Linked DNA regions of Mus musculus: all the other regions are reported to be linked to region 4. The links are microRNA targets in miRTarBase. Many come from high-throughput screens and were not tested one by one. Region 4 holds a microRNA gene; each other region holds the end of a gene's coding sequence.
The links. The annotated mature microRNA mmu-miR-297b-5p reads AUGUAUGUGUGCAUGAACAUGU and lies in region 4 at 2,155-2,176, opposite strand. An mRNA with a match to its seed (bases 2 to 7 or 8) in the 3' UTR can be bound and repressed. Matches are read on the target gene's strand: a 7mer-m8 pairs with bases 2 to 8, a 7mer-A1 pairs with bases 2 to 7 and ends in A, and an 8mer does both.

Region 1: the mRNA of Cdh12 is a reported target of mmu-miR-297b-5p. Seed matches in the 3' UTR shown: 7mer-m8 at 3,467-3,473.
Region 2: the mRNA of Rab9b is a reported target of mmu-miR-297b-5p. Seed matches in the 3' UTR shown: 7mer-m8 at 1,085-1,091, 7mer-m8 at 1,177-1,183 and 7mer-m8 at 1,221-1,227.
Region 3: the mRNA of Vdr is a reported target of mmu-miR-297b-5p. Seed matches in the 3' UTR shown: 8mer at 1,689-1,696.
Region 5: the mRNA of Lrrn4cl is a reported target of mmu-miR-297b-5p. Seed matches in the 3' UTR shown: 7mer-m8 at 1,364-1,370, 7mer-m8 at 1,378-1,384, 7mer-m8 at 1,382-1,388, 7mer-m8 at 1,386-1,392, 7mer-m8 at 1,390-1,396, 7mer-m8 at 1,394-1,400 and 1 more.
Region 6: the mRNA of Neu1 is a reported target of mmu-miR-297b-5p. Seed matches in the 3' UTR shown: 7mer-m8 at 2,131-2,137 and 8mer at 2,814-2,821.
Region 7: the mRNA of Cnih3 is a reported target of mmu-miR-297b-5p. Seed matches in the 3' UTR shown: 7mer-m8 at 3,011-3,017.

What each region holds. Positions count from the first base shown.
Region 1 is chr15:21,585,510-21,590,029 of GRCm38, reverse strand. Cdh12 (cadherin 12) reads right to left here. Exons shown (of 12, transcript NM_001008420.2): 12 at 497-4,048. The coding sequence ends at 3,549. Among named protein-coding and RNA genes, the nearest start is that of Gm41278, 410 kb to the left of the region's middle.
Region 2 is chrX:136,857,520-136,862,039 of GRCm38, reverse strand. It overlaps Rab9b (RAB9B, member RAS oncogene family), which reads left to right. Exons shown (of 3, transcript NM_176971.3): 3 at 349-3,893. The coding sequence starts at 391. The coding sequence ends at 996. Among named protein-coding and RNA genes, the nearest start is that of Rab9b, 8.8 kb to the left of the region's middle.
Region 3 is chr15:97,853,745-97,858,264 of GRCm38, forward strand. It overlaps Vdr (vitamin D (1,25-dihydroxyvitamin D3) receptor), which reads right to left. Exons shown (of 10, transcript NM_009504.4): 10 at 683-3,887. The coding sequence ends at 3,628. All of the region lies in intron 1 of Gm33690 (a long non-coding RNA gene), which reads left to right. Among named protein-coding and RNA genes, the nearest start is that of Gm33690, 8.5 kb to the left of the region's middle.
Region 4 is chr2:10,509,342-10,513,861 of GRCm38, reverse strand. It overlaps Mir297b (microRNA 297b), which reads right to left and starts at 2,195; the gene lies at 2,087-2,195. The region is part of intron 10 of Sfmbt2 (Scm-like with four mbt domains 2); the gene reads right to left. It overlaps Mir669a-2 (microRNA 669a-2), which reads right to left and starts at 3,698; the gene lies at 3,602-3,698. Mir466d (microRNA 466d) reads right to left here and starts at 1,895; the gene lies at 1,800-1,895. It also overlaps Mir669m-1, Mir669m-2, Mir669c and Mir466n.
Region 5 is chr19:8,851,663-8,856,182 of GRCm38, forward strand. Lrrn4cl (LRRN4 C-terminal like) reads left to right here. Exons shown (of 2, transcript NM_001013019.3): 2 at 1-2,247. The coding sequence ends at 717. Among named protein-coding and RNA genes, the nearest start is that of Lrrn4cl, 3.2 kb to the left of the region's middle.
Region 6 is chr17:34,934,237-34,938,756 of GRCm38, forward strand. Neu1 (neuraminidase 1) reads left to right here. Exons shown (of 6, transcript NM_010893.3): 5 at 47-269; 6 at 369-3,061. The coding sequence ends at 595. Among named protein-coding and RNA genes, the nearest start is that of Neu1, 5.2 kb to the left of the region's middle.
Region 7 is chr1:181,458,849-181,463,368 of GRCm38, reverse strand. Cnih3 (cornichon family AMPA receptor auxiliary protein 3) reads right to left here. Exons shown (of 6, transcript NM_001160211.1): 6 at 2,728-4,144. The coding sequence ends at 4,117. Among named protein-coding and RNA genes, the nearest start is that of Ccdc121, 50 kb to the left of the region's middle.

The DNA of each region.
Region 1 (4,520 bases), not on the chromosome of region 4:
ATTTACATCTGCTTTAGGTTTTTGTTTATTATTGTCACCATCTTTTTTTTTTCCAGTATTTGTGGCTCCTGGGACAGAACCCAGAGCTTGTGCAAATTAACTATTGCACCATGGTACTGCATGTCAAGCCCAGATTTTCTACAAGTGTTGAAAATTGAGCATAATATTTAAGGAAAAAGAAAATCTTCACACAACATCTGCATTCACATATTTTAGGATCCTTTGTCTCTCTTCCTGTACACTTTTTCATCTTTTGATTTCACAGAAGAATTTTCAGGTATATTGATAAAAATTAATTGTGTGGTTTTCTAAGTAGAACTAGTGATTTTTGATAAATGATCAATCAAATCCCTACATGAGTCAAAAAATATATACTATGATCTATTTTTTTGCATTTAAAATTAGCATAGTCTGTAGGTAAGCTATTTGATATACTTCAACCATTACTGTAATTTAATGACAAGAAAATTTCTGATTAATTGTACACAACACTGAATATAGGAAACTGGTTTTACTAAAGAAAATAAAAGAATGAAGGCCAAGTAATTTGATCCATAGGAAGTTTTCAGTCAAAGGGGGGAATGGTTCAAAACACACAGATTATCTTTAGTACATCAATCAACACTGCTTCACTTTTGGATGCTGACTATACACTTCTTTGAGTAGCATTGAAGGCAACATATAAGTTTTATATATATACATGTACATATGTATCTCTATAAAGATAGACATGCACGCCAATAACAAAATTGCTGTTTGTATATAGCTAAAATCATTCATACAAATTTTAAATATTTTTATATTGCTTAATGCTTGAATGAAGGTCAACACCTGTTTTATGAACAACAACAACAAAAAAACTTCCCAAGGTATTACAGGCATTGAAATACTGGGCTAAGTCCTTTCAGTAGCCTAAAAGATACCATAGTTCCTCTAATTATAAGCACCAAAGGATCTCCTTTCCACATCATATATTACTTTTATCATTCTGCTTGTTTATGTTTCTTTCATTGATTGTTGTAACTAAAATGCTATTTAGAAAATAAACACTGTTAATATATTGAGATTGGGATTGCATGAATCCACATGCGGTAGTACCAAACCAAATAGGACTTGGTGGTAAGGCCTTTATTATTAAACAAGGCAAACAGAGGACCTGTGGGTAGATGCTGCTCTAATATGAAGATCGTCCTTATGAGAAGAGAAACAGAAATAAGCACAGAAATGAGAAGAAGTGGGAAAGAAAAGGTAATGTTCTCCACTACCAGGAGAAGATGGTAAGAGGAAACCTGCCATCAGAGCTGAGGAAATAAACTGTTGTTATTCACTTTGTCTGTGAACATTTGTTTTGAGCTGATGAAGTAATGTAGGGTATTACAAAGATATGAGTGTGATGAGAACTAAGAGCCACACATTGCATATTTTACTATCTTCATAGTCATGTGGTTTAAAATCATCAGCCTCTCAAATCTCTAGGTTATCATGGCTTCTGCTAGCAACTTCATGAGAAGGTTATTTTATTTCTTGTCAAGATACAAAGTGTAATAGTTTTTGACAAGAATCAGGTCTTAATAGTGTGTGGTCTTCTTCAAGAAGACATTATCTGTACATAATGAAATAAGAAACAAGTCATTAATTTTTCTTCTCTAGCATGGCAATTATAAGTGATTTTTCTCAAATGTAAAGTACTAAATACATTTGTTTATTACATGAAAATTGGAACAAGAGAGGTATGGAGTGATGACTGAAAACAAAAATTGAATCTCCCATTCCAAAATGGAGAAAAAGAGTCTAAAAATGGTGAACATAGAAACAAGGGGTAATATTTCTATACCGTAAATAATTTAAAATATGCATTTTAGAATATGCCTAAAATTAAGTTGTCTAATTTTGTAAATTTCTTAGATTCCATAGTGTGTGAGTTTTATCTCTATAGCCGCACAAATAATAATGATAGTCACAGAAATTTATTATAAAATTAGACATTAGTGATATGTGATTCACAGCTCTTTAACTTTAATTTTTTCCAACGTGTTCATAGGTAGAAGTTGTTCGTTATTCCAACTACATTGTTAAGAATAGATATTACTTTATGGTAAATTTGCATTTGTTGTATCCTGTGAATGTCTAAATGATGTATAATTCCTATTGAATTGATGTGAACAATGTTTATTACTAATATAGTCATGAATTATATCATCACTTAGACATTTCGATAAAGTGGAGACATTTTATCTGAAGAGTTACAAGGAGTAATTTACATGAGGATATTTGTAGATGAGATAATGAAGAGGTGACTCTGGGCTGATACAATAACTGAGTTCATAATGATAAAATCCGCATCACTAGAGAAAGTGAATCAGCTGCCCGGCATTGAAGTTTTGTTCCCTTTGGGATTTTAGTCATTGGTTTTATTTTTGAAGTCCCTGACTTATTGTTCAGTAGTATAGAACAAGCATATATACTTGTTATAAATTACAGTATTTGATATGCATTTTGTTTGAATCATTCATCAAAGAACCACTAGATAGAAACTCTGAGAATGACAATGTTGAATTTTCTCATGTTTAAATTAATAATTTATTTCCTTTCAGAAACTTCAGTAGAAACACAAGCTGAAATTTTAATCTATCACTGAAAGCTTAACTTATTTAATGACTTGTTAAAACCAATGTCCATATACCAGCATAGAATTAAACAAACCGATATTTATTTGATGTTGGAATTTGAGCCCCGAGGCCTCTCTTTATAAAGAGGGATTCTTTTTATTTCCTTCAGTATAATTTTATTTGTTTTTTCTTTTTTTTTTGGAAAAACTAACACCTTAATTAACATCTTTCACATGAATGAATGCTATGACTTAAGCATCACTCTTAGAAATCATAACTTACATATGGAATTTAGTAATGTCTCATTTATCCCAGTTTCTGAAAGGATTGGAAAAGCCTTTCTGTTTTAGTTTGCAATTTACAAAAGGAAAAGCTTTGCTGTATAAGAAGATAGAGTTTGGGAAGCATTCTCTGTTCTTAAAAGAACTGAGAGTCAGCATGTCACTATTGCTTCTTGACGTAGAGACACTGTCTGCTTTCTTCCTCCTTATTTTCGACTCCTGACAAGCCACCACAGCGGAGTGTTATGAACACCACTATAAGGATAAGAGTTTCAATAGGCACTTTAGTGGAATTAAGAAAAATCATACACTCTTCCACCGTGACGCCACATAGCTATCTTCATTCTAGGTTGTCATGTCAGTGAATTGCATTTAATAGGCCTGAGCTCGTCTCAGTGTGTTTCTGAAATAACAAAACAAAACAAAGCAAGTACATATCATAGGATTTACCTTGTGCCTACATAATAAACCAAAATGACAATATGATAAATAGAGCAACTTGTTAGAAGCTGGATAATCAAAAAAAGTCTTGTCCTGCAAAATCTGGGAGTGTGTGTGTGTGTGTGTGTGTGTGTGTGTATGTGTGTGATTGTGTTTTATCTGTGTTATTTTTGTCAAAACTTTCTCCTCTAGATGTGTATCAGCCTTTCCTTTTCCCCTAGGTAACATTGTCGGGGTTGTAACTCTCTTCTTCTCCAAACATGTCTGCCAAGACCTTAAAGCGGGGTCCCCAGTCTGATAGATAGTCATAGTCCTGGTCGGCTTCTGTGGTGAGAGAGTCTATGGAGCTGAGTGATTCTGCCACTGAGCCATTCCCCTCATACGCATAAGTGGCCAAGGAATCGTATGGTGGAGCCGCTGGGTCTGCGTCATTTTCCTGTAGCCTTCGGTGAATAAAATCCCTTATGTCTGTGTTGTCTTCCACTTGTGGTCTTTGACGAGATAAACAGAGGGAGTCTGGTTTTATATCCCTGCGAATTTTGTTCTCTTCGATCACCTTGGGATTTCTCAGAGCCCCGATGTCAAAGGCCTGGGTGTCCTCCTCCCCACCTCCTTCATCGTCATAATGGATGACATTGTCTCTGATGTCTTCTTTAGAGGTCATAAGGGTGTCTTTCTTCCTCTGCCTCCTCAGTGCTACATACAGCACAACAATAGCTACAAAAAAAAAAATGACATCTGGGTAAACAGAAGCATATATATCATTTCATCTCTCTGTAAATGTTAGAGCAGATAAGGGACATTTGCACTTCTTTAGTGACCTCATACTACATTCCTAGGTATTATAATATCAAAATGGCTATGTATATGATTATAAGTTGTCTATTGCCACTTTCACATTGAAACGCTAAGTACCAAGAAATCACAGAAATGCTATTAATATTATCAAATATTTTCCCATTTGTAATTTAATATTTTGGATTCAGAAAACGATGTAGCAATTAAAATAGCAGAGAGGAAATATGACTTTTTACTATGTAGATATTTGAAAGAGTTGGTACAAAACACATGGGTATTTCATGGTAAAGTAACATTTAAATATCTTTCATGGGTAGCAATAATAGTCTTGGTAAAATACATTTCTGTAAAATAGCCAAAGATTTTGTGAGAAAACAATATTAAATACAGT
Region 2 (4,520 bases), not on the chromosome of region 4:
CCATTTGGAACTGTCCAAACTGGAAGCCAATATGGCCATATATTTGAGTGGCATACCTGTTCTAGGCTCCCTCACCTAGAATAGTGTCAGAACTGAACAAATTGTGGAGCCATCCACTAGCTGGTTTGCTCATGGCATTCAGCCTTTCCTTGCCCAGGTAAGACACCTCCTCATAAAAAAGAACACTTTCCCCCCATTTTACTAAAAGGGTTTTCTGTCTGTGTTTTAAGTCAAGTAATGATTATGTAAGTACATTGTCAGGGGCTTCATAATTCAGGGACATTTGCTATGAAGTTGATTTGTTTTGAGTTTAACAATTTTCCTTCCTACCTGTTTATGTATTTGCAGGTTTTTTTTGTTTGCAGACTTCTCCCTGTTTGGTGCTGCAACATGAGTGGGAAATCCCTTCTCTTAAAGGTCATCCTCTTGGGTGATGGAGGAGTTGGGAAAAGCTCACTTATGAACCGTTATGTAACCAACAAGTTCGACTCCCAGGCTTTTCACACGATAGGGGTAGAGTTCTTAAATCGAGATCTGGAGGTAGATGGACGCTTTGTGACCCTCCAGATCTGGGACACTGCGGGGCAGGAACGTTTCAAGAGCCTTAGAACACCATTCTACAGGGGAGCCGACTGCTGCCTGCTAACCTTCAGTGTGGATGACCGGCAGAGCTTTGAGAACCTTGGTAACTGGCAAAAAGAGTTCATCTACTATGCAGATGTAAAGGACCCAGATCATTTCCCCTTTGTGGTTCTGGGTAACAAGGTAGACAAAGAGGATAGGCAAGTAACGACTGAGGAGGCACAAGCCTGGTGCATGGAGAATGGAAATTACCCTTATCTAGAAACAAGTGCCAAAGATGATACTAATGTGACAGTGGCCTTTGAAGAAGCTGTTAGGCAGGTGTTAGCTGTAGAGGAACAGCTGGAACATTGTATGTTAGGTCACACCATTGATTTGAACAGTGGCTCCAAAGCAAGTTCTTCTTGTTGTTAGAGGTAGGGACTCTTGACAAGTGTGCAATAAGTTGGTCAGTCTGTTGTGTAAAAACGACTGTGCTCTTTGGTAGTATGAACACACACACACATACACACACACACACATGCACACACACACACACACGTACATGAAAGCATGCTCACACAGGCAATTGCATACACACAGGTACACACAGACACATACATGAAAGTACGTGCACGCACGTGATTGCATACACACACACATACACACACACACACACACACACACACACACACACATGAAAGTAAAAGATAATGTTCTGTTTTTGAAACAGAACCTTTCAAATTGAAGTTGTAAAGCGGTTTTTTAAAAAGCTTTATTGAGCCAAGTGTATTTTGCGTAATTCCTGCTATTTTCCCTTCTTGTGTGGCTCAGGACATATCAGAAAGTTTTAGTCCTGAGAGATTTAAGTATTTTTAATCACAGTTTAAACCTAGAACCCAGCCGCATGAAGGAGTGAAAGAGCTTAAAGTGTTCCATTAACCAGCTAGCAAAGGCCACCAACTCTTGCCAAGTAGTTTATGTCATTTCTACCAAAGGGAAAATTAGGATTCTGAGCTGTGTTACAGAAAATAATGGAAGCAAGAATTTCTAAACATGTATTAGAAAAAGGTGGTGGTGATTAAGAATATAGATGTATAAAAACACACTGACATGTTCAAATCCTTACGTATGGTTTACTCTCTTATGAACTTAAGAAAAATCATTTCTATAAGAATTACTCTAATGACACTGGAGGTTGGTTCTAATCCATGTGAGTCACAGGACACTAGTGAATGGATTACGCTTAAATATGCCAACCACATTTGCAAATACATGGTTGGCCTGCTTTTCCTTCATTAAGTCTACTGCTGCTGCATAGAGATGTTGCTTCCTTGACAACTTATCAATTTAGTGATGCTGCTTAGTATGTGGCTTCGGGTGCAGTGCTCTCTGCCTACATTTTACACAGTCCTATAATTCACCATGCTGGCTCATGCAGAAGGCCTCAGAAAGGATTGGAGAGTAATGGGCTTTTCTCACAGGTTCCTTAACTCAGTTGTTTGTTAGATCTCAGATCTCAGATCTCAGAAGGATCTGATTCTTAGAATGTCCCACCAGATGTTCAGCTGGCCAAACTAGGACATTAAAACTGGCAAAAGAGCAGGTTTTTTTTTTTTTAAACTTTGTGTTAGGATGAATTTCTCGTAATTAAATTTGTTCAAATGTGGAATAGATTGCCTTAATTGTGAACTCCCTCCCAATAAAAGTAGTCACTGGCTGACTATTTGTTAAAAAGAATTACTGAACTGGCTACATGTTTGGTATAAGGTTTCTTCATGCTTTCGTTCTGAATATAAACTATGTCAGTGCCATGTCCTGGTTGGACTTACATGAAAGTAAAGGTTAAGACCATAGAGAGGGCCTTCAAAAATCCTCAAGCCATTCTGGGATTAGCCTTTAACAGCAACTATTATTTAAAAATATATCCCAAAGGTACAATGTTCATACCAAAAATGGTTTGACAATTTTTGAATACCATGACTGCCAATTGTATATACTATATTCTGAGTGTGTCATCTGTTTCTTTTTTTTTTTAAATTGGTTGATCTGCATGGATTTTAATCTGTGCTTTAAAACATGTATGAACCAATGTAAAGAGGGACAGTTAATTAGTTAAGGCCCTCCAAAGAGATTTAGGCCTGGGATTGGGTGGGAGCATTCACAGGAATACAGCCTAGAATTCTCCATTGTAGCCACACATGGAATCAGCCTTACATGTGGGACCTTACGTGCTTTAAGAACTCTGGTACTTTTGGCCACATAGACAAAAGTAGGACAGTATTTATTTCAACTCAGACTTACTCAATATTTCTAATTATTGTATAGTCCTGACCCTATTGTCCAATTAATTTAGATGCCAGAAGTCAAAGCCAGAACTGGGACCCCACAACTCTTAAATATTGGTTCCTATCTTGCCTATGCCTATAGCCAGCCACACTGGTTTCAATGTTCTACAGTCATTTTGCTACAATCATGTTAGGGTGAAAATCTGTACGTCAGAACTAATAAATGGTAATTATTTTTTAAGTGCATGAGACCTGGGGCCTTCTCTTTCTACTTGCACTCTGCTTATAATAGTTTCTATCTGTAGATCTCAGGCCTTCATAAAGATCTCCATCAGCTCACACAAAGTATTTGTCTCTGTAGAGTGGCATGTGGTCATGTGAGTAAAAATAAAAGTATGTGAGGATTCAGTTCATAGACATGCTGTCCATTGAGACAAGTGTTCATTTTATTAGCAGGCATATCGAAGCCCCTTTCTTCTTAGCCATACTTTTTTTTCTACCAAATTACTTCACAATATCAAGCACTTAACAATATGTGACAAAACAGTGGCATTTTAGTGAGTAACACTCAGTGGGTGTTGACATAGTTTGGGTAAGATTTAAAAACACCAAAAGCTGCTATCCTTGGTACCAAGAACTGTGCATATGTGTTCAGAAATAGACTGTATATCTAGAATGTGCAATGAAATATTTTCAATAGGTGTTTTTAATGAACACTAGATGTTTGGGATCAATGTATTTCTAATTAGAAGTATACTGGTTTTCAATAGTCCATTAAAATATCATATAAAATATTTATTTAGTTTATTGCCATGTATTGACTTTCAAGGGGCTTCAGATTCCATATGTCTTCAGCGGATTGATGAATTTCAGGTGTCTTTGTGCCTGCCTTGGCCATCTCTACTTTATTCTGAGGTATTCCACCATCCTCTTGTTGCAGGTGCTGCTAAAAATCTCAAAAAATGTGGATAAGATATTTTGTTCCAGTTGTTTAAAAATCATCTGTGTCAAAGTAAATAAAAAGTGCATTTTGAATAACCAGCATACAATGGTTATGGGGTTTCATTTCTCTCCTTTTTTTCTTTTGCACAGTTTGTCAGTATAATAGATATACCTGTCAGTCAAGCTCCTCACTTAGATGGTACTTGATGTGGTCTCTGGATCATTTTTTATGTGATACTCCAATGGCAGTCCCAATTTTCTTGCAGTAGTGACTGAGAAACAAACTCAAAAGATTTAAAGTTAGATATTCCTTTTATTTTATTTTATTTTAGATCCCTCTGTAATGCATAGAGAGTGCTGGAATCAGAATATAGACCTTAATCCTCCACTTTATTTTTAACCATAGTTTAAAAATATTAAAATATTGTAAATATAAATAGACTATACACAGTATTTTTATTTTCTTGACTGATAAATGACGTAGACATTAAACATATGAAAATATAGATAAAACAGGTCAGAACAGATAGTTTTTAAGACAAAAATGTTCTATTCTCTTGGCCATTAATGTTACACTAAGCATCAAATGGCTTGAACGGATATAATAGTGACATTTTAATGACATTTATTTATTTATTTATTTATTTATTTGTGTGTGTGTGTGTGTGTGTGTGTGTGTGTGTGTGTGTGTGTGCATGTCATGGTAGGTATGAAGAGATCAGAGGACAA
Region 3 (4,520 bases), not on the chromosome of region 4:
ATCTCATTCTGCTGGGACATCTTAGTTTGTGGCTTGAAAACTTTTCAGATGTTTCTGCAAATTAAAGTAAACCACACTCCCAGGTTTCTGAACTAACCTTAAAAACAAGAACAAACAAACAAACAAACAAAAAACCTGGGTAGGACTCGGCAGTGACATTTGCAATTCCAAGTCCTTGGTTGAGAATTCTTGTGTGTATCTCACTCCACTGGGCCTCATGGAGCCGTATTTGTGCACAGGGGTTACTGTAACACCCTGAGTCTGGGCTGAGCAACAGTTTCTAACGCAAGAGCTAATGTTACCAGTGATCACTTGGCTTTCTTTCTTGATGTTCTTTGGCAAGGGCCACACCTAACTGGGGCTAACACATTAGGCCAAATACTTCTAGTGTGTGTGTGGGGGAGCACTCTGTGATCCAGCACCTCCATTTCCCCATCACTGAACGGAAGCCTTCACATCCTACTTAGGGTGGTAGCAAGAGGGCCTATCATTTGTCACACCACTTAACTCTGTAGGGGGCAGTAGAATGTTGCAATTAATTAAGACTTCCAGAGAGAGGTACCCGGGTCTAAATCCCACCCCTCCCTCACCACCAGTGAGCTTTGGGTGACGAATCCCCTCCGCCACGTGGAGACAAAACCAGCGCATCTTTCACGGGGTCCTTACAAAGAGCAAGCAAGTTGGTTTTCATGAGGCATTTATTTACAGCGGTACTTGTCACGTAGCAAGCGCTATGAAAGTGTGAGCATCTTTTATTATCATCGGCAAAGCTTTTTCATTGGTTTATTTGACAAGCTCCTGGAAACAAAACAAACAAACACTTTTGTCTCTCTCTCGGGAAGTCTCTTAGGAAGCTCTTTAGAGCCATGTCTGACTTCCACCAGATTTGTCATTTATCTCAACCATCTCTGGTGGCCTGGTTTGGACTCCTCCCCTACTTTCTCCCACGCAGGCAGCAGGAGGATTCTCCTATCTTGGGAAATCTTGCTGATCTCTCATTTTGGTACCCATTTCCGCCTCGGAAGTGTGAGCTCTTTCAAGGCCCTGCCTTTGTACATTCAGAATAAAAATAGATGATGCTGTTCTCTCCCAGTTCGGCTTCGGAATCCTACTTGGTCCTGCTGTCTTTTCCTCCCAGCTCCCTGACTTCCCTTTGGGCACTTCTCAGTGATGGACCCCTTGGGCTGAGAAACTGGTATTCTCTGGAGGCCTGTGGAGTTTCCTGGAGAGGCAAGGGCTGGGAAGACAGAGGCTTTCCAGTGCCTGATGCACACAAGGCTGATGCAGAGAGTCCTAAAGCCAAGTCTCACTCAAAGAGGCCAAGTGCTTGCCTCCTTAGGATGGGTGGCTGAGTTTATTACCCAGGGAAAAGGGATCGTAGTCCCAGACATAGGTTTATGCTGATATCCAGGGTTTCCTCATAGCCTGGCTCAGCTACCAGAGCAGTGGAAACAGGCTCACTACAAAGCAGCCCGGGACCATAAGTTCAAATTTTCTCCAGGCCTGGAGATGCTTCTAATTATATGAGCCCAGGTAAATCACACTCTCCTCTGATGTCAGGTTCTCATTATAAAGGAGTCGAACTAGCTTATCAACTTTCAGACTTTCCCTCCTGTTGAGTAGTAAGCCAGATCAATGTGTTCTGCTGCTAAAATCAAAGGTCTTTCTCTAGGGTTTTTTTTTTTTTTTTGTATGTGTGTGTGTGTGCAGTAACAATAATCATTAATATACAGTATTTTCACACACACACACACTGCTCTGAATCAGGTGCCACCACCCTCAGTGTTAGAACACAGTACAGGTGGGGTCTAATTCTGAGAACACCTCTGATGGAATGACTTTAAAATAAAGCCTTCTGCATGCCGTAATGCAATATGGGAAAGCCATTCTCAGATGTTTTCCGCTTGAATTCTGGGAAACATAGGGCCAGGTGGACACTAAGGGTTCTTCTGATGTTAAATGTGATTGATCTCAGGATTTTCAGGGAATCTGGGGCTCGTGGGGCCATGCTCCGTCTGACCTTAGCCCTCTATTGGTGCTTCCAGTGTGGCTGCATTCCCTAGGTCAAACATTCACTGGAAGGTCCTTCTGTGAGTCCCCCTTATGAAGAGAACCTCCTCTGCATGGGTCCCCCCACACCCCCACAACGCATGATCAGCAAGAAGTATATTTGGGGTGAATGAGACCAGGGTTCCAAAGTCCTGGACTGGGCTACTACAGAGGAAGAAATGGAGTTTGAAGATACGTCCCTAGCCCATCACCTGACCGTTTCGTAGGTCTACATTGACTTTTGGGTGGTAGAGTGAAGAGTCAGGAGGAACTGGACCAATATCACTGTACCACAAGTTCTAACCTGCCCCCTCTACCTTTTCCCTGAGGTGGGAGAGCTCATGTCTGGCTTTACACCTGAAAAGCAGACTTGGAGGTCCATCTGGGCCACTGTTGGTTTTCTGCCATCCCATTCCACTGGGTGGAAAGGGTAGCTTTTATTGGTAAGTGGGGTGGAGATGTGACACTGTTGCTCCAAGTGGGGGTGATGGAGAAGCTGAGATAACTTCTGGGATACTCTTGGTGATCAAATTGTAAGGCCTGGGTGGCTCAAGGACCTGCTTTCCTGGGTAGGTGGTAAGGCACTGGCAGGGGAAGGGATGAAGACAGGGCTAGGGACGTTCTGAAAGTTGGGGTCAACTTGGTCCTGACACATCTAATAGCTATAGAGGAGAGGAGGGGTCCCAGTAGCTCCAGGCTTCAGACACCTCAGCTTGGTGACAAAGATAGATGGACCTCCATTTGTTGTCCTGCTGGGAGGCTGGCTTTGCCTGCTCCTCATTGCTTGGGCTCTGTATTCCATTCCCTGGGGACTTTCCAATGGTGGTTTCTAGGTCCCTGGTTCTAGGGATGGGGGAAGAAGTCCACTTTACCAGAGGTACTGGACTTGGGGACTTACCATAACAAAACCTCAAAGGTGGGAACTGCAGGGCTAGGGAGGGCTCCTTGGTTAGTGTGGTAGAGTATTTGGTCATCTTGGCAGTGAATGAGTCCATGAGTATACCAGCAGAGGAAGGAGGCCCCACAGTGACTGACTCCCCTGGGTCAGAATAATACAGACAGGTGGCAGGAGGAGACGGGACACACTAGGGATGATGGGTAGGTTGTGTACCCTTTGTAGGCAGGGGCAGGAGTTCTCACCAGGCAGGTAGGTTTGGAATCGGGGTAGGTACAGGTACCTGTCCCTGAGGAATGGACTCATCTCTTCTGCCTGCCTCCCTTGACACAAGCAGTGGCCCCTTATGGCGGAGGCATTCCCTAGGCAGAGCTCTCTGCCTTCAGCCTCTGCCCTCTACCCTCTTCCCCCCATCCCACACTTGAGTTTCTTTGTCAAATAAACAGCAGTGTCTCCTAACTGAGATCTCAAGGGACAGGAGCAACCTGCAGTCTACAGGAAAGGGAGATCAGGTGTGAGGCTGGGCAGGAGAAAGGATGAGCCAGACAGACACGGGCCACGGCAGAGGAGGAGCTGAACTCCAGGAGGGGCAGGAGGCACTGCTGGGCTGCAACCAGCCCAGGGCCTGGGCACAGGGCCCCAGAGGAGCGGCCCTACCCAGGCACCACTGCAGGCCACCCTGGTCAGGAGATCTCATTGCCGAACACCTCTAGCACAAGGGGTGTGAGCTTCATGCTGTTCTCCGGCTGGAAGGAGAGGGAACGGTACTGTTTGGAGTGCTCCTCATTGAGGCTTCGCAGGTCAGCCAGCTTCTGGATCATCTTGGCGTAGAGCTGGTGGCTGCCCGGGGGCGGGTGGCGGCAGCGGATGTAGGTCTGCAGTGTGTTGGATAGGCGGTCCTGAATGGCTTCAACCAGCTTAGCATCCTGTACCCCAGGTCGGTCTGTGTCACAGGATGGAAGAAGACAGGATGCTTGTGGCTTAGTTTTACAGTATCCACCACACAGGTGCCCTATGTCAGCATCTCCCCCGTTCCCCATAACATCCCCTGCATTTAGGACCAAGTCCTTTCCTGGGCTCATCTGGTCCTGTCCCTACCTCATCCCATTCCTTCTGTCTCTAGGTTCAGTCTTTGCTTTGGTATCCAGGTACTTCCCACTCTCGCTAACAGATCTCCCCTTTGCCTGGGCATCAGCTCTTGTCTTTCCCCCTGGCTGACTGGTTATCACAGAACAAACTCAAAGCTCTTCCTGAAGAAGGCTGTTCCTGATAACCCTCCATCTCCGTGACCCAGATCTATGCAGGATCTCTCCAGTAGCATCTTCATATTCAAAACTCTCATTATAGTGCAGATGGGTCCATACCAGCATTTACTTTTCCCTAACTCTCAGAAGTCTATCCTTTTTCCCATGACTCCCTGTGCCTTGCCCAGTGTCTGGCCATAGTAGGTGCTCAGTAAACCATCATGTGATTAAGTGAGCACATGCCATCTGGACCTCAGGAGGGAAGCCTATGTCTATCCCTTGGGCCTTCAGCCTTGGTATTCCTGGCCACAGGCCACTAGATTGTCCCCTGT
Region 4 (4,520 bases):
TGTGTGTGCACGCACGCGCATGCAAGCGCACATGCACGTGTGTCTATGTATGCTCTCATGTATATGCATATTCATATACACACATGTACATGTACGCACACACAAACACACATGCACATACACAGGAGCCATCACATGAATGCCAGGCTGATCTCCAACTCATCATGCAACCAACATGAATTTACACTCTTGATCATCCTGAATCTGGCAAGGGTCTTTACCTTGTGAGTGAGAGCATTCATTGGCCCAGCACGGCATACTCTCTAAAACTCACATGTCACATGTCACATGTCACTCAAAATGATCTATGGGTGCCATTTCTGTGTGTGTGTATATCTGTGCATGCTTGTATATGTTTGTGTGGATGTATATGTATATTCATATACACACATGCACATGCACACAAAACTATACACACATGCAAATATATTGTGGGGAACCCCATAAAATCAGGCTGATCTCTACTCTCTTTTGAATTTATTTATGAATATGAATTCCTGACCCCTCTGAATATGGCAAGCTTTTACATAGTGAGAAAAACTTTCATTTGACCAGTACTACATAACCTTTAAAGCTCAAAATCACATATCATTCAAACATATCAATGAATTCCATTCCTTGTGTGTATGTGTGCATACGTGTGTCCATATACATGTATGTTTATGTTATATATATATATATATATATATATATATATATATATATATGTATATATATATATATATATATATATTCATTTACACAGATGTACACGCACACACATGTAAACACACATGCACATACATGGGTGGCATCACAGGAATACCAGGATAATCTCTAACTGAAGTTAATCATGAATTTGAAATCCTGATTCTCCAGACTTTGTCAATCATTTACAGCTGGTGACTGAGACCATTCACTGTCCCACTACTGCAGTCTCTAAAACTCTAAGTCACCTATCATTCAAATGGATCGATGAGTGCCATTCCTGTGTGTGTATCTGTGCTTGCTTGTATATGTTTGTGTGGATGTATATGTCTATTCATATACACACATGCACATGCACACAAAACTATACACACATGCACATACATTGGGGAGGATCCCATGAAGCCAGGCTGATCTGTACACCATTTTGAAGTTACTCATGAATTTGAACTCCTGATCCATCTGAATATGAAAAACATTTTACTGGTAAGTAAGAAGTTTCATTGGCCAAGTACTACATAATTGCTAAAGCTCTAAGTCACATATCTTTCAAACATATAAATGAATGCAATTTTTTCTCTGTGTGTGTGTGTGTGTGCTTGCATATACACATGTGTTTATGTTATGTATATTCATGTCAACACATGCACATGCACATACAAGTAAACACACATGCACATACATGGGTGGCATCACATGAATACCAGGATGATCTCTAACTGAATTAAGCATGAATTTGAAATCTTTATCCTCCTGACTTTGTCAATCTTTTACACCTGGTGGGTGAGACCATTCAATGTCCCCTATTGCATAATCTCTAAAACTCTACATGACTTATCATTCAAAGGGATTGGCGAATGCCATTCCTGTATCTGTGTATGTGTGCTTGCGTTTATACGTGTGTGTGTATGTTATGTATATTCAAATATAGACATGAACATGCACACACAACTATACACACATGCACATACATGGAGGAATCACATAAATCACAGGCTGATCTCTAAATTCTCATGAGGATAAGTATGAATTTGAACTCCTGATACTCTTAACTCTAGTAAGCATTTTCACTCTAAGTCACTTATCATTCAAATGGATTGATGAGTGCCATCCCTGTGTGTGTGTGTGCGTGCGTATCTATGTGTGCGTGTATGTATATGTATATTCATATACACACATGTACATGTACGCACACACAAACACACATGCACATACACAGGGGCCATCACATGAATGACAGGCTGATCTCTACCTCATCACGCAGTTAACATGAATTTGCACTCCTGATCACCCTGACTCTGGCAAGGGGCGTCACATGGTGAGTGTGACCTCTCCCTGGCCCAGTCATACAGAATCTCTAAGACTCTAAGACACATATCATTCAATAGAACAATGAGTATCCATTTTCTGTGTGTTTGTATGCATGTTTGTATGGGTATGTGTGTATGTATATGTATATTCATATACACATGTTCATGCACACATACATATACACACAAGCAAATAGATTGGGGGCATCACATGAATCCGAAGTTGATCCCAGACTCATCATGAAGTTGAGAATGAATTTTGACTGCTCATCCTCCTGACTCTGGCAAGCATTTTTACCTTTTGACTAAGAGCACTCACTGGCCCAGCACAGCATAATTTCTAAAACTCTAAGTCACCTGTCATTCAAAATGATTGATGGGTGTGTGTGTGTGTGTCTGTGTATCTGTGCTACTTCTATATGTTTGTATGGATGTATATGTATATGCATATGCACACATGCACATGCACATAAACTATACACACATAAACATACATTGGGGGGAACCCCGTGAAGTCAGGCTGATCTCTATGTCATTTTGAAATTACTCATGAATTTGGACCCCTGATCCATCTGAATATAACAAACATTTTTACTGGTAAGTAAGACGTTTCATTGGCCCAGTAATACATACTCTTAAAGCTCTAAGTCATATATCATTCAAACGTAACGACGAATGCAATTTCTTCTGTGTGTGTGTGCCTGCATATACACGTGTGTTTATGTTATGTATATTCATATCAACACATGCACATGCACATACAAGTAAGCACACATGCACATACATGGGTAGCATCACAGAAATACCAGGATGATCTCCAACTGAAATTAAGCATGGATTTGAACTCCTGATCCTCCTGACTCTGTGGTTTACACCTGGTGATTGAGACCATTCACTGTCCCACTACTGCATAATCTCTAAAACTCTAAGTCACCTATCATTCAGATGGATCGATGAGTGTCATTCCTGTGTCTCTGTGTGTGTGTGTGCTTGTGTTTATATGTATGTGCATGTTATGTCTATTCATATACACACATGCACATGTACACAAAACTATACACCCATGCACATACATGGGTGGCAATCACATGAATCACAGGCAGATATCTATATCCTCCTGAAGATAAGCATGAATTTGAACTCCTGATACTCCTGATTCTAGCAAGCATTTTTACCTAGAAAATGACAGCACTCACTGGCCCAGTACTGAATAATTTCTAATATTCTAGGTGGCATATCATATAAATGGATCTATGAATGTTATTCGTGTGTGTGTGTGTGTGTGTGTGTGTGTGTGTGTGTGTGTGTGTGTGCACGCTAGGGTTTATATGTCTATGTATATGTTATGTATATCCATATAGACACATGAACATACACACACAACTATACAAACCTGCATGTACACTTAAGGCATCACATGAATCACAGGCTTATCTCTAAATCATGCTGAAGATAAGCATAAATTTGAACTTCTGATACTCCTAACTATAGTAAGCATTTTCACCTAGAGAATGAGAGCACTCACTTGCCCCATACTGAATAATCTCTACTACTCTGAGTGGCATATCATTTAAATGGGTCAATGAATGCCATTCCTGTGTCTGTGTGTGTGCTTGCGTTTATACGTGTGTGTGTATGTTATGTATATTCAAATATAGACATGAACATGCACACACAACTATACACACATGCACATACATGGAGGAATCTCAGGCTGATCTCTCATGAGGATAAGCATGAATTTAAACTCCTGATACTCTTAACTCTAGCAAGCATTTTCACCTAGAGAATAAGAGCACTCACTGGCCAAGTACTGCATAATCTCTAATATGCTAAGTGACATATCATTCAAAGGGATCGATGAAAGCCATTCTTGTGTCTCTATGTGTGTGTGCTTGCGTTTATACGTGTATGTTATGTATATGCAAATACATGCATGAACATGCACACACAACTATATACACATGCACAATCATGGGGCCATCACATGAATCACAGGCTGATCTCTAAATCCTCATGAAGGTCAGTATGTGTTTTAACTCCTGAATACTCTTAACTCTAGCAAGCATTTTCACCTAGAGACTGAGAGCACTCACTGGCCAAGTACTGCATAATCTCTAATACTCTAAGTGACACATCATTCCAATGGATTGATGAGTGGCATTGGTGTGAGTGTGTGTGTGTGTGTGTGTGTGTGTGTGTACTTGCATTAGTGTGTGTATGTTATGTATATTCAAATACAGACATGCACACACAACTATACTCACATGCACACACATGGGCGATATCACATGAATACCAGGATGCTATCTAGCTGAACATAGGAGTGAATTGGAACTCCAGATCCTCTTGACTCTTTCAATCGTTTACAACTGGTGAGTGAGACAATTCACCGTCTCTACTTCAAAATCTCTAAAACTCTAAATCACTTATCATTCCAATGGATCGATGAATGGCATTCCTGTGTCTGTTTGTGCACTTGTGTTTACTTGTGTGTGTGTGTGTATGTTATTTATATGCAAA
Region 5 (4,520 bases), not on the chromosome of region 4:
TTGGGCTCTCTTTCCCTTCTGTGGCTGGCAGCCATGACCACCTCCTTGGTTTCCCAACCTCAGATCTTGACCCTGGAAGACTACCAGGAAGGGGAAGAGGATGATGTGACAGTAGCTACACCTTCCTTAGCTGTCCGTTGCGACTATGACCGTTGCCGCCACCTGCAGGTGTCCTGCCAGGAGCTGCAGAAGGTTGGGCCAGTAGCCTGCCTGTGCCCAGGGCTCTCCAGGGAAGATCAACAGCCAGAGCCTCCTCGCCTGGGAGAAGTGCAAATAATGGCTGAAGAAGGCTACGCAGTGGTTCACTGGTGTGCTCCCTTCTCTCCAGTCAGCCACTACTGGCTTCTGCTTTGGGAAAGCAACGGGGCTCCACAGAAGAGTGCCCCTCTCAATGCTACAGTTCGAAGAGCAGAGCTGAAGGGACTAAAGCCTGGGGTTGCTTATGTCCTTTGCGTGGTGGCTGCTAATGACGCAGGTGAGAGCAATGTTCCTGGGGCAGAAGTCGAGGGTCCTGAGAACTGGACTGGCCCTTCCTTTGGGCCCTGTCGCAAGTTTATCATGCCGCCTAAGCCTGTTACCCTGGTCTATGCAGCCGTGGGAGTGGGCACAGCCTTAGCTCTGCTGAGCTGTGCAGCCCTGGTTTGGCATTTCTGCCTTCGTGAGCGATGGGGTTGCCCCCGACGTCAAGGTATGGCCCAAGCGTCAGAAGCTCTCTGACAGGAGTCCCCTCGACTACAAACAACTCATCTGGAGAGCCCAACCCACTCCCAGGAGGAGTGTGGGGCTTGTTGCCACCTGGCAACCAGAGGCACAGCCAAGCCAGAGCGGAAGCCCAGGCAATTAGCCTCAGCACTGAGGGCTTGGTTAGTCCCTAACTGGTCACTATGTTCCTTCCCTGTTGGGGGTTAGAAAAAGTAGCAATTATTCCTTGGAGGTCTGATGAAAATGATTTAAGCTTTATGGGTTTGAAGGGGTAAAATTACAGACATTATACATGAACTTATATATAGCCAGTTAAAATGGAGCTATTTAAAGGCCTGGCATGGTGGTTTACAATTTTAGTCTCCAGCACCCTGGAAGCAGAGGCAGGCGGATCTGAGTTTCCAAAGCAGCCTGATCTACATAGAAAGATTCCAGGCCAACCCAGATAATATAGTGAGACCCTGTCTCAAAAAGAGTAAAACAGAAGCAAAACAAACAAAAGGTGGGGCGGGATAGAGAGATTGTTCAGCAGTTAAGAATACTGGCTATTTTTCCAGAGGACAGAATTTTATTCCTAGCATCCACATGGCAGCTCACAACCATCTGTAATTCCATTTCCAGGAGATCCAGTGTCTAATTCTGACCTCTGCCAGCATCAGGCACATACATACGCACACATACATACATACATACATACATACACACACACACACACACACACACACACACAGAGAGAGACAAAACACTCATACACATAAAATAAAAATTAATTTGAAGTGTAGCTGTTTAAAAATGTAAACTGTTCATAGCTCATAGGTCTCTCACAGCAAGCAGCAGACTACATTTGGCCTGTTGGCTGATTTGCCAACACCTATCATTCTCAAAGGGACTTTGTGACTGTCGGTGGCTTCCCTGCATATTTTGAGAATAAGCTGAGTTTTGCCAACACCTGTTATTCTGAAAAGGACTCTGCGACTGTGGGTGGCTTCCACGCATATTTTGAGAATAAGCAGGGTAGATGTGGAGACTGGAGCTCTGTCTTTCTGCTACTTGTTGTTTCCTTCCTAAGGATGATCCTGCTCAGACTCCACCTGGGGCTATGGAAGCTGGGGATTAAAAATCAGCATGGGCTGGAGGAGACAGGGCCCAAGCTTCTGGCTACATAAGTTAGTGGTCTTGTTTGTTTTGGGGGTTTTTGTTTGTTTGTTTTTTCAAGACAGGGTTTCTCTGTGTAGCTCTGGCTGTCCTGGAACTCACTTTGTAGACCAGGCTGGCCTCGAACTCAGAAATCCGCCTGCCTCTGCCTCCCAAGTGCTGGGATTAAAGGCATGCGCCACCACCGCCCAGCAGTGGTTTTATTTGTAACTAACAGTTTATACCAATGACTCCCCACAACTTTGTGTAATTGTTTTTCCACTGTATTAACATTAAAGGGAATCTAAAATCATTACATTTTCAGTTTCATGATCTTGTTTAATTCCATATAGATTTTTTTCATTATGACTTAGACTTTTGGCCAAGATTAAAGGTATGACTATTTTTCAAAGTAATATACAGACTTTTGTGTTGTGTTTGTTTGAGACAGAGATTCACTGTATAGCCCTTTATAGTCCCAAACTCCCTATGTAGAACCAGTTGGCTTAAAACTCACAGAGCCTGCCTCTGCTTCCTGAGTGCTGAGATTAAAGGTGTGTGCCACCACCCTGGGCTGTTTTGGTGTTTGGTTGTTTGGAAACAAAGCTATTATTACCCAAGTTCTCAATAAGTGAATAAGGGAACCTAGGAAAAAAATTAAAGCCACCCCTGAAGTCAGATGTAATGGTACACAGACTTTAATCTCAGCACTTTGGAGGCAGAGGCAGGAGGATCTCTGTGAATTGGTGAAAAACCTGGGCTGCAGAGTTCCAGGCCAAGTAGGACTGACTACCTACCCAGTGAGGCCTTGTCACAGAATCGGTTACTTGCTCAGGTTTTCTTTGTCTATTATTCTCATTGAAAGTATCATTGTTTAAGCTAGGTGGTGGTGGTGCACCCCCTAATCACAGCATTTGGGATGCAGAGGCAAGCAGAAAGATCTCTGTGCTGGAGGTCAGCCTGGAGGTCCATAGAGAGTTTCAGGACAGCAGAGCTACACAGAAAAGCCTTGTCTCAATAGAGATAGATAGATAGATAGATAGATAGATAGATAGATAGATAGATAGATAGATAGATAGATGACAAATAGGAAAAAAGAAAAAGAAAAAGAAAGAAAGAATCATTGTTCATCTTTTAGCTTTAACACACACTAAAACTAGCACTGCTCTTAAGCAGGTATTTACAAACCTCAACAGGAGTCTTTTAAGTGCCCTCAGCACCGTGCATGTGGGTGACAGTGTGGCACTCACCTGGAGCACCACCAAGCAGCCCGTGCAGGTTCCAGTACACTTGCTTCTGCAAGCAGGGTTCACATGGTTTAGTCTAGCCCTGCTTTCCTTCCCAGGCTTTGCCTCAGCTACTTGGTGAGCATTTAGAGCATGAGAAAATAGCTCTATCATCTTTAATTAGAAAGAGCATGCATTCCCAGGTGAGTATGTTGGCTTCACAGTTAATTAAGAAAAACTTGTGCTGTTATGAGTTCTATATGGAAAGTACTGAGAATTTTGGTTTCTTTAAAAACACAGATATGTTATAGGAACACGTTTTTGTTTTAATCCCAGGTGTGGGATATAGGGCTGCTTTAGATTGTCAACAGCAACCAGCTATGATTTTTCTTGTGCTCTGGCAGCACATAATTCTGGGGACTTTTGATAGGGTATAAAAATGCCAGAGCCCCAAGAGGTTGCAGGGGCTGCTGCAGCAGGCTGATTCCTACTGTTGCTTTTGCTGTTTGCTGGATTGCTGGTTGGAGATATCCTGAAGATTGGACTTGTCCCAAGGAACTTGATGCTAATAATCAGCAGGAAGTAGTCTAAAGAGATTTATGCCTCTAGGCTGGAGAAATGGCTCAGCGGTTAAGAGCACTGACTGCTCTTCCAGAGGTCCTGAGTTCAATTCCCAGCAACCACATGGTAGCTCACAACCATCTGTAATGGGATCTGACACCCTCTTTTGGTGTGTCTGAAGACAGCAACAGTGTACTTGTATACAATAAATAAATAAATAAATAAATAAATAAATCTTTTTTTAAAAAAGAGAGCGATTTATGCCTCCTTTTCCCTTTAACCTTTCTTGTCTACCTAGTGTTGGGTTGAAAGGGATTGGGGTGGAATAAGAGTGGTAGATAAAAGAACCCATGGTAGCCAAAAAGTATAGTTATGGTAATAAGTGGCGCCAAATGGGCACTAGGCAGAATGGGAAACATGATTTTCCCTCCCCCACTACTTTGCTCCCAGAGAGGATTTTCTATTTCTTCTTCCTCTTCTTCTTCCTTCTCTTCCTCTTCCTCCTCCTCCTCCTCCTTCTTCATGTCCTGTCTCAAAGCTCAACAAAGGTTGAGAGAATGAATGACTGAGCAGTTTGAAAAGTTGTGAATGGTCTATCGAAAAACAAAACAAAACAAAACAAAACAAAACAAAAAAGTTGTGAATGGAAATGAAGGAATAAAAATGATAAAATGGGAAACCAGAAAAGTCTATTCTCTCATTTCTGAAAGGGTTACAGAAGTGACCATGCAACTGGAGAGGTTTCAGGTAGAGGTAGAAGCACTTGGGCAGAGAGTAGTGCCAGAAAAAGTATAAATAAAAGGTTCAGATCTGGCGACTGAGAGTGGGAGCTTCAGGCTGATTTGAGAGAAAGGGTTATCCTTGAGCCAAATGTGCTGCCAGAGGAGGGAGGGGCCT
Region 6 (4,520 bases), not on the chromosome of region 4:
GGCTTCCTCAGCCTCCCCAGCTTCTCCTGTTCTCTCCCCCACGCAGCCCTACGAGCTTCCAGATGGCTCGGTCATCATCAACGCCCGGAACCAGAATAACTACCATTGCCGCTGCAGGATCGTCCTCCGCAGCTATGACGCCTGTGACACCCTCAGGCCCCGGGATGTGACCTTCGACCCTGAGCTCGTGGACCCTGTGGTAGCTGCAGGAGCACTAGCCACCAGCTCCGGCATTGTCTTCTTCTCCAATCCAGCCCACCCTGAGTTCCGTGAGTGCCTGAGGGTGGAGTGGGGGTTGGGGGGCGCCCCGTCTGAACAAGTCCTGGACAGAGCAGAGACCCTCCTCCCTCTGACTATTGCTCTCCTAGGAGTGAACCTGACCCTGCGCTGGAGTTTCAGCAATGGTACATCCTGGCAGAAGGAGAGGGTCCAGGTGTGGCCGGGACCCAGCGGCTACTCGTCCCTGACAGCCCTGGAAAACAGCACGGATGGAAAGAAGCAGCCCCCGCAGCTGTTCGTTCTGTACGAGAAAGGCCTGAACCGGTACACCGAGAGCATCTCCATGGTCAAAATCAGCGTCTACGGCACGCTCTGAGCCCCGTGCCCAAAGGACACCAAGTCCTGGTCGCTGACTTCACAGCTCTCTGGACCATCTGCAGAGGGTGCCTGAAACACAGCTCTTCCTCTGAACTCTGACCTTTTGCAACTTCTCATCAACAGGGAAGTCTCTTCGTTATGACTTAACACCCAGCTTCCTCTCGGGGCAGGAAGTCCCTCCGTCACCAAGAGCACTTTTTTCCAGTATGCTGGGGATGGCCCCTGTCCATTCTCTTCCAGGACAACGGAGCTGTGCCTTTCTGGGACAGGATGGGGGAGGGGCTCCCCCTGGAGAGATGAACAGATACGAACTCAGGGAACTGAGAAGGCCCGGTGTCCTAGGGTACAAAGGCAGGTACTAGATGTGATTGCTGAAAGTCCCCAGGGCAGAGTGTCCTTTCAGAGCAAGGATAAGCACACCTACGTGTGCACCTTTGATTATTTATGAATCGAAATATTTGTAACTTAAAATTTTTGATGCAGAAAAAGCGTTTGTGGAGTCTGTGGTTCTGTCTGCTCACGCCTTCCCAATTGCCTCCTGGAGAGACAGGAAGGCAGCTGGAAGAGGAGCCGATGTACTTACTGGGAAGCAGAAACCCCTAGATTCCATCCTGGCTGCTGCTGTTTGCAAGTGTCAAAGATGGGGGGGCGTGTTTATATTTTATATTTCTAAGATGGGGTGGCATAGGAAATAGGGAACAGATGTGTAAAACCAGATGGGAAGGACAGTCTGTGAGAAAGGAGCAAGCAGTTGCTGCAGGTGTGGGAGAGCAAAGCCCTTCTCCACGTGGAAAGAGCCCAGATGGACGCTAAGCATGTTGGGCACCTGTAACCCCGCACTCGCTGGACTGACGGTGTAGCTCAGTGGTGGAGCTAGTACTTGGAACGCCTAAGACTCTGGGTTCAGTCCTTGGGGGGGGGGGTATGTGTTTATTGAGAGGAAGGTGTACGTACTGTAGGTCAGAGGACAGCTTACTGGAGTTGTCTCTCTCCTTCACGCTGTGAGTCCTGTGGAATGACCTCAGGTGTCAGAGTTGGGGGCAGGTGCCTTTGCCAGCTGAGCCATCTTGCTGTCTCTGCTTTAATTTAAAAAAAAAAAAAAAAAAGAATATTAAGGTCTGAGGGATTCGGGCTGCGTTCATTTCAATTAGAGGGTCATATTTCTTTTGACATTTCTTCTCTAAGAAATGTTAAGATCATTTGTTCTGTGTGATAGAGGTATAGCTCCATTGTATGTCAGCAGTGAGGGATCCTGTGCATTTTATCCAGAGTTTGTACGGTGTTCTAGGGGCTGCTAGTGCAGCCCAGTGCTAAACACTTCAGCATGCACAAGGCCTCAATCAGTGCATGCATGTGCACACACACACAGACACACACGTACACACTGACACAGGTACACAAATACACACTGGCCCACATGTACACATCGACTCACAGGTACACAGACCCACTTTGACACACATATACACAGACACAAACGCACTGGCACACACATATACACAGGCACACATGGATAGATGGACACACGTGTACACATACACACACACACAGAAATACAAATGTTCAGGTTTTCTAAAAAAAAAAAAATTAGAGACGTGTTGACTTCATTTTTAGCAAAAATCCTGTCATGTATCTTAAAGTGGATTGAACCCACTATGTAGCCCAGGCTGGCCTCCAAATGGGCATCCTTCTGCCTCAGTCTCCCGAGGGCTAGGATAACAGGAGTATGCCATCACACCTGGCTAATAGAAATTTTCAAAATTGTTTGTTTGAAGGTGACTCTTACTATATTGCCTAACTGATCTCCAGTTCGTGAAATCCTCCTGCCTCAGAACCAGGACTGTCAATATAACCCACCAAGACAGGCCAACATTCACAATTGATTGTTAGTTTGTGGTCTGAATCAAGGTCTTATACTGTAGCCCAGGCTAGCCCGGAATACACGATATCTCCAGTGCTTCAGATCCTCAGTTCTAACTAAGCATGGCCACATCCATGTTTAACTGCAAATTTGATGTTACCATGGTTTGGTTTGGTTTGGTTTGGTTTGGTTTGGTTTGGTTTGGTTTTTTGGCCATTTTTTTTTTCTCATGCTGAGGCCTTGTGCTCTCAAGTTGGGGAGACAGCATGGAGGGTAGCTGCAACTGTAACCCCAGTTCCAGGGGACCTGACACCCTCTGGCCTCCACAAGTATTAGGCACATCTGTGGTGCACAGACATACAATCAGGCAAAATATTCATACACATAAAATAAAATAATTTAAAACAAAAGCAAAAATCAGGACCTAAGAAAAAAATCTATTCCTGATTCTTTTATGTTTTGTTTGTATTTTATCAAGACAGGGTTGTTTCTCTGTATAGCCCTGGCTGTCTTGGAATTCACTCTGTAGACCAGGCTGGCCTCAAACTCAGAAATCCTCCTGCCTTTGCCTTCCAAGTGCTGGAATTAAAGGCATGCGCCACCACGCTGGCTTTGATTGCTGATTTTGCCACTCTTTTAATCTGTCGCAGCCTAACCTTTCTGTTTGTTCAGTAGGTTGCTTGATTTTTGTGCCATCCAGACAAAACAGCAGGTTGTCCCGTGGGATGGCCCTTGAAGGAGTCACCTAACATCTCCCTCCACCTCTGAAGGTTTGGCTGCATTCAGACACCTCTTTGGGAGAATAGGGGTGCCTCATGTTTTCCATGTGCTGCCCACTGCTCCCCCACGCTCGCACAGCCTGCCCTCCTTCCGTGTAGAGACTGAGCACAGGGCTGAGGTGGTACAGCAATCTTTGTAAGGTTTGCTGGTAACCCTCCCAAAGCAGCAATCCCATCCTGCATGCGTTGTCTGCTACCATATTTCATGGAGTTGCAAATGAGTGGTTTTTACTTTTATTTCTTCCTGAAATAATTTATAACCTGAAATCCTTCAGTTCAAAGAAACACACACACACACACACACACACACACACACACACACACAGAGAGAGAGAGAGAGAGAGAGATGCAAAGAATCTGGATTTGACTCCTAGCACCCACAACCATGTGTGACTTTAGGACTTCAGTTCCAGAGGATCTGATATCCTCTTCTGACCTCTGTGGGCACCAGGCACATACATATATACATACATACATACACGCAGGTAAAACATTTATACACATAAAACTAAAGTAAATCTAAAGCAAAAATGAAGACTTCAAGAAAAAGAGAGAGAGCCTTCTCTCCTCTGGGCTGTCTGTTAGCTGGTGCACGGTCTGTACAGGAACCACAGCCTGTGTGGGCTCGCTCTCCCTTAATTGAGCAGTTCTGAGTCAGTTGATGTAACTCATTGCCCTAGTCAGTAAACCACAGTGTTGCCCAATGGGATACATAGAAAGGCCCTTCCCTGGCCTGCAGAGGCAGACAGAGGGAGTGAGGGAAGATGCTTGACAGTAAGACACCTAGCAGGCTGATGGGTTAGCTCAGTACAGTGCTTGCTTAGCATGCGTGAGGCTCAGGTACAATGTCCAGTCCCTGGGCTGGTGGTAATTCATGCAGATCACTAAACAGATCACTGAACGAGGAAGAATGGAGGTCATGACCACAGCAATTGGGACACCAGTCCCATGACTATCGCCACCCAAAATTGCATACCTACCTGCCAGTCTTTTGCTTTTTATATGTTGACCCAGGCCTCGTTCCATAGCCTGGGACTCATGCAATCTTCCTGCTCAGCTTCTTGAGCTGAGATCACAGGCCCAGCCCCAATAGTAGAATTGGTGATAGCAAGATTGGCCCAGTGGTTACTTGCTATCAAGGCTGATGACCTGAGTTCAAAGCTCTGAGCCCACAGGGTGGAAGGAGAAAACTGGCTCTAGCAAGGTGTTCTATGACCACCAAACATGCCACAGCATACCTGCACCCACCACCCCTACAAAACAAATAAACAAATAAATGTGAA
Region 7 (4,520 bases), not on the chromosome of region 4:
GAACCTTACCTTTCCCCGGAAATGCCCACCAGGCAGTGTCCAGAAGACTCTGCCTTGCTGGGCTCCTTTCTCCATCCCACAGAGAGAGTCCTGTTATAAGAGCAACCTAGAGTCCGTCCCTCCTTACCCATCTCCCATACTTCACTTTGGGGCTCAACTTTGGAGCAGAAGCAATGGGAAAGATGGCCGGTTTGGCTCTGAGGAACGGGGGGAGGTTCTACACAGAGTCACAAGCCAGAGCACAGTGTGGAACAGAACAGGCCAAAGCTCCCCTCCCCACCAAAAAAGAAAGGGCTATAGAACGTATCTGCGTGATAACACAGTGAGTACAATTAGTTGTTGTCAAAGCGTTTTGCTGGCTGCATTCATCTCTTACGTGGGAGAATAAAACTGTCATAACGATGACAATTTTATTCAACATTGGTGCAATTACCAAGCCTAAAAATAGGGAGCAAATGGGATACTTTTCTTGAGGCTGAGCTGTTACCCCTGTTGCACGGCTGGGACAGTGACTCCCTCACCCCACCCCCAGGAAGGGGAGAGGACAGGAAGAAAGCTGAGACTTGGTGAACAGTGCTCTGCGTTCCTATGAGACACAGCTAGGTTTGTTCTCCACCATCCCCCTCCCCCTTCCCTCCCCCTCCCCTCCCCTCCTCTCCCCTTCCCCTCCCCTCCCCCTCCCCCCCCCCATGTAATCATCTGGCACAGAGGGAGGAGCAGTGCAGGGAGGACCAGGAATGAGATTTCCTGGGACAAGACTGTAGAGCCAGGCTCTCTGCTATGAGCTCCCTAGACACAGTTGACTTGTCACAGCCGTGGGAGGCGGTACACACCTCATGTGACAGATGAGAAGTCGTCTCAGAAAAGATGAAGCACCACACGGTTCTCCAGCCCCAGACTTTCTCATTGCAGCCAGGCCCTCCAGGTCACTTGCTGTGAGTCCTGGGAGGCCTGCTGCTCAGCCCCTGCCCTGTCCATCATCACTCCATTCTCTCTTACTCTTTTTTCCTTCACATCCCCTCACCCTTCCTGCACTGCATGGCTCTTTTGAGAATACAGAAACATCAAGGTCCCAGAAGCAAAATGACTCAGGTTGACAACTTGGCAAGTGTTGACTTTGGCTGGGGTCCTTGACCTCTGTAGGGTTTGTATCAAAGCTTTCAACTATCATTTAAAGACAGTCATAGTGTCACTGTGAGGACTGAATAAGATGTGTATCAGTCGAGTGGTTGGCAGGAAGCTGGGGCATTGGGTAGAGTGTAGAGAACAGGGCACAGTTCCCTCTCTAGAGTACCAGGTGCAGCGGACATGAAGTCACACCATCCTTATAGCAAGCTGGGGCTGAGCCTGTTATTCTTCTCTCACCTTAGCAAAGGGAAACGTGACCTTGTGACTCTCCATCATCCAGGTCACATGCAGCACAGGGCCACAGCAGGGGAAGAGGGCCCATACTTCCAGGCCAGTACTGGCACATGCTATACCCCTAAAGTATCCAGTTCAGTAGATGGGTTCTAACTTGCTCAACAAAAACACTTCCTTTGGATTCTTGAGGCTCTGGGAACTTTAAGGCATTTCTCCTGCCTTGCTCCCTCCTTCCTTAAATGAGCTGCACAACGAAAGAATGTTAGCCAAACAAGCAAAACTCTGTGGAAATAGGTCCAGCTGCATGGTTTTAAAGCCCCGCCTCGGACCAGCTGTGCACATCTGGAAACAGCTCTTCCCATTGACTGTGGCGCCTGGCACACACCTGTGCTCTGCCACTAGCCCCATCTTGCTTATTTTTACCATCAAGAAAATGAACTTCTCCTGGGGAACCGAGGATTTGCTCTAACTCCCATGAGATCACCGGACTTATTTTCCAATCACAACGGATGGCAAGGGAACGCTTTGAATGTTTTTCTTTCATAAAGGTAGGACCTGCCCAAGAGGCATCAGCAATGCTTAAGGATTTCAAAGGACTAAGGGAAGAATCTCTCACACGCATCCCCTTAAACCACCACGCACGTCCCTTAGCTAGAGCTCTCTGCTTTAAAATCTTTCCTCATAAAAGTCAAAGCTTTTGGTGGGAACAGAAAGGTCATGTTCTCTTAAAGTCGGCTACCAGGTTCATAGGCAGGCCTTATAAACTCCCCCACTTTAAAGCAGAAAACAAGAGGGCCAAGTGGAGGGTTCAGTGTGCTAGGAAAGTGGTCTAGAAGATGTAAAGTCCTGCCGTATGAAGCATTTACTGCTGAGGGATGATGTTAAATTGACCACTCAGGAAGTTAGGATATGGTACAGACCTCCTTTGTAGGTTCGAATGTCCCAAGTCCACATTAACAATCTCTGATATTGGTGTCTCCTGTCAAAAACGACTTTAAGCAGTTTTGGAAGAGGGGAGTGTAAAAGAGATTCCTGAAGAGAGGAAAGAAGACCCCTTTCCTTATGTTCTCCATGTCTTTCTTTTCTTTTCCTTTTCTTTCTCTCTCTTTTTTTTTCAAGATGATGACGGTGTTAGCTTTGCACCTGACACTCAGACCTCCACTGTTTGTTGATGTGACTAGCCATCCCTGGGAAAGGTACCCAGCTGAGGTTGTGTAGCTTCAACAAGTTACCCTCAGTAGTAAGAGCTCCTGCCAAGGGAAAGACCGCATTCTCCCTGTCCTCCTAGACTGCATTCTCCCGAACCGGCTGTGGTTGATACAGCTGGCCCCTCAGAAAAGCAGCCTTTTGTTTTTCTTCTTTCTTGCAAGTTTTTTTTTTCTCTCTATTTTGTTTTCTGTAATTTTTTTTTTTAAGAAACACTGTTTCTTTTTAAAAACGCTTTTCTACCTACTAGTTTGCCAACCATATGGATACCCCGGGGGTGGGTTGAAATGAGATGAGGTGAGCCACTCAAGTTGTTGCTGCATCTTAAACATAGCACACAATGTGTTACACAAACACCATTCAAAAAACTGAGTCACAGAATTCAGATGGGAACCAGTACATATATAAATAGTGTGTGTGTGTGTGTGTGTGTGTGTGTGTGTGTATGTGTGTGTAATGGTAGAAAGCAAGGCAGTTTGGGGAATCAGGTTAAAATCATTGTGCCCAGTTTAAGCATCATAAAAACTCAGCCTTGTCAGTATTTACACCTGTCCTGCAACTCCCACCCAAAAAAGGAGCAAAAGTCAAGTGGAAATTTCTAAATAAGCGATGTCCCCACATTGAACTGAGGAGCACAAAGGCCGTGAAGCATCAATGGATGTGATAATTGTGTTGTCTCACTTCCTGGCTGTCCATACCCACACACAGAGCAGCTCTCTGTTTCTGGGCTTCGCACTATTTTGAGGGGTTTGGTTTGGTTTGGTGTTTTGTTTTGTTTTTTGCTTTGGCTCATGCCAGCCAGCTGATTGGCATGTAATGACTCTGATGAATTTTTGGCACAGTGGCAGAATACATCTTGGGAGGGTGAAGAACTCACACCTGGGACATGTTGCAGACATTTTTAGAAATCCATTTTCTCCCCCTCCCCAGTTCACACTGGACAGGGCTTGCTGCCACACCCAGCTCAGGAAGCCACAGCCCAGGCTCCTGGACACAGAGCGTAAAAGTGACGTGAGAGGTGGCTCAGGGCAGTCCCCACAGCTTTCTGCCTTGCACTGAGCAAAGCATGTGACCACAGCTCTGGAAAAAAAATGACAAGAGTCTTGGGCAGCCCATGGTGTCCCTGTGGGTCTCAGCCATCCCTGAAGATCTGGCCTTGGCCCTGAGCCATTCTGTCCCTTGTTCGACACCTGCCAGCATCTGGCCTCATTTCTACCATCCAGACGAGCTCTCCATGTGAAACTCGCACAGTTCTGCTGCTCAGTGAAGTGGATGAAGGAAGTAATAATGGCATCTCCAGAGGTTGAGTGTTTCATCAGCTACAAGCTGGCACGCCCATGCTCAGAGGGGCCCTGCAACCCATGTGGGATGTGAAATGCGAAGGCAGAAACAGACACACGTGGGTAACATGGCTCTGACTGCTGTATGACTCCCGTTCCTTTCATTCGGTCTCTGCCATCTGGGTCTCTCCGTCATCCCCATCTGGTGCTCCTCTAGCCACAGCCGCAGTGGTTCCCAGCTTCGGCCTCTCCATCAGCAGGGTCTGAGTTAGGAGCTCACTAAGGTGTAAATCATGCTGGGTGCAAACAAGAAGAGGAAAACAGATGTCAGCAGGAGTCTGTGGCTTTCATCAGCCCCCTTCCAAGTCTGGAGCCTATGGATTCAACTCATTCCCGTCTCTGTGGTCTCCAGTTCACCCATGGAGGCCTTGCTATAGCCCATAGTGTGTCTGCTAGGATGGCACCCCATGTCCCCTGTGGATGCTTATGAGCACTCTCACTGGGATGATCACTGTGGCGCATCACTTTTCCTGCAATTACAGGTGCCTATGGGGTAAGATTCTTCACACCACCATCTGCAACCACATGCTTACAGAATGGCTGCATCCTTACCCCTCCTCCCCAAGCCCCCGTGATGTTACATGATGTGTCAATTCCAAGGGTCTGGATGAA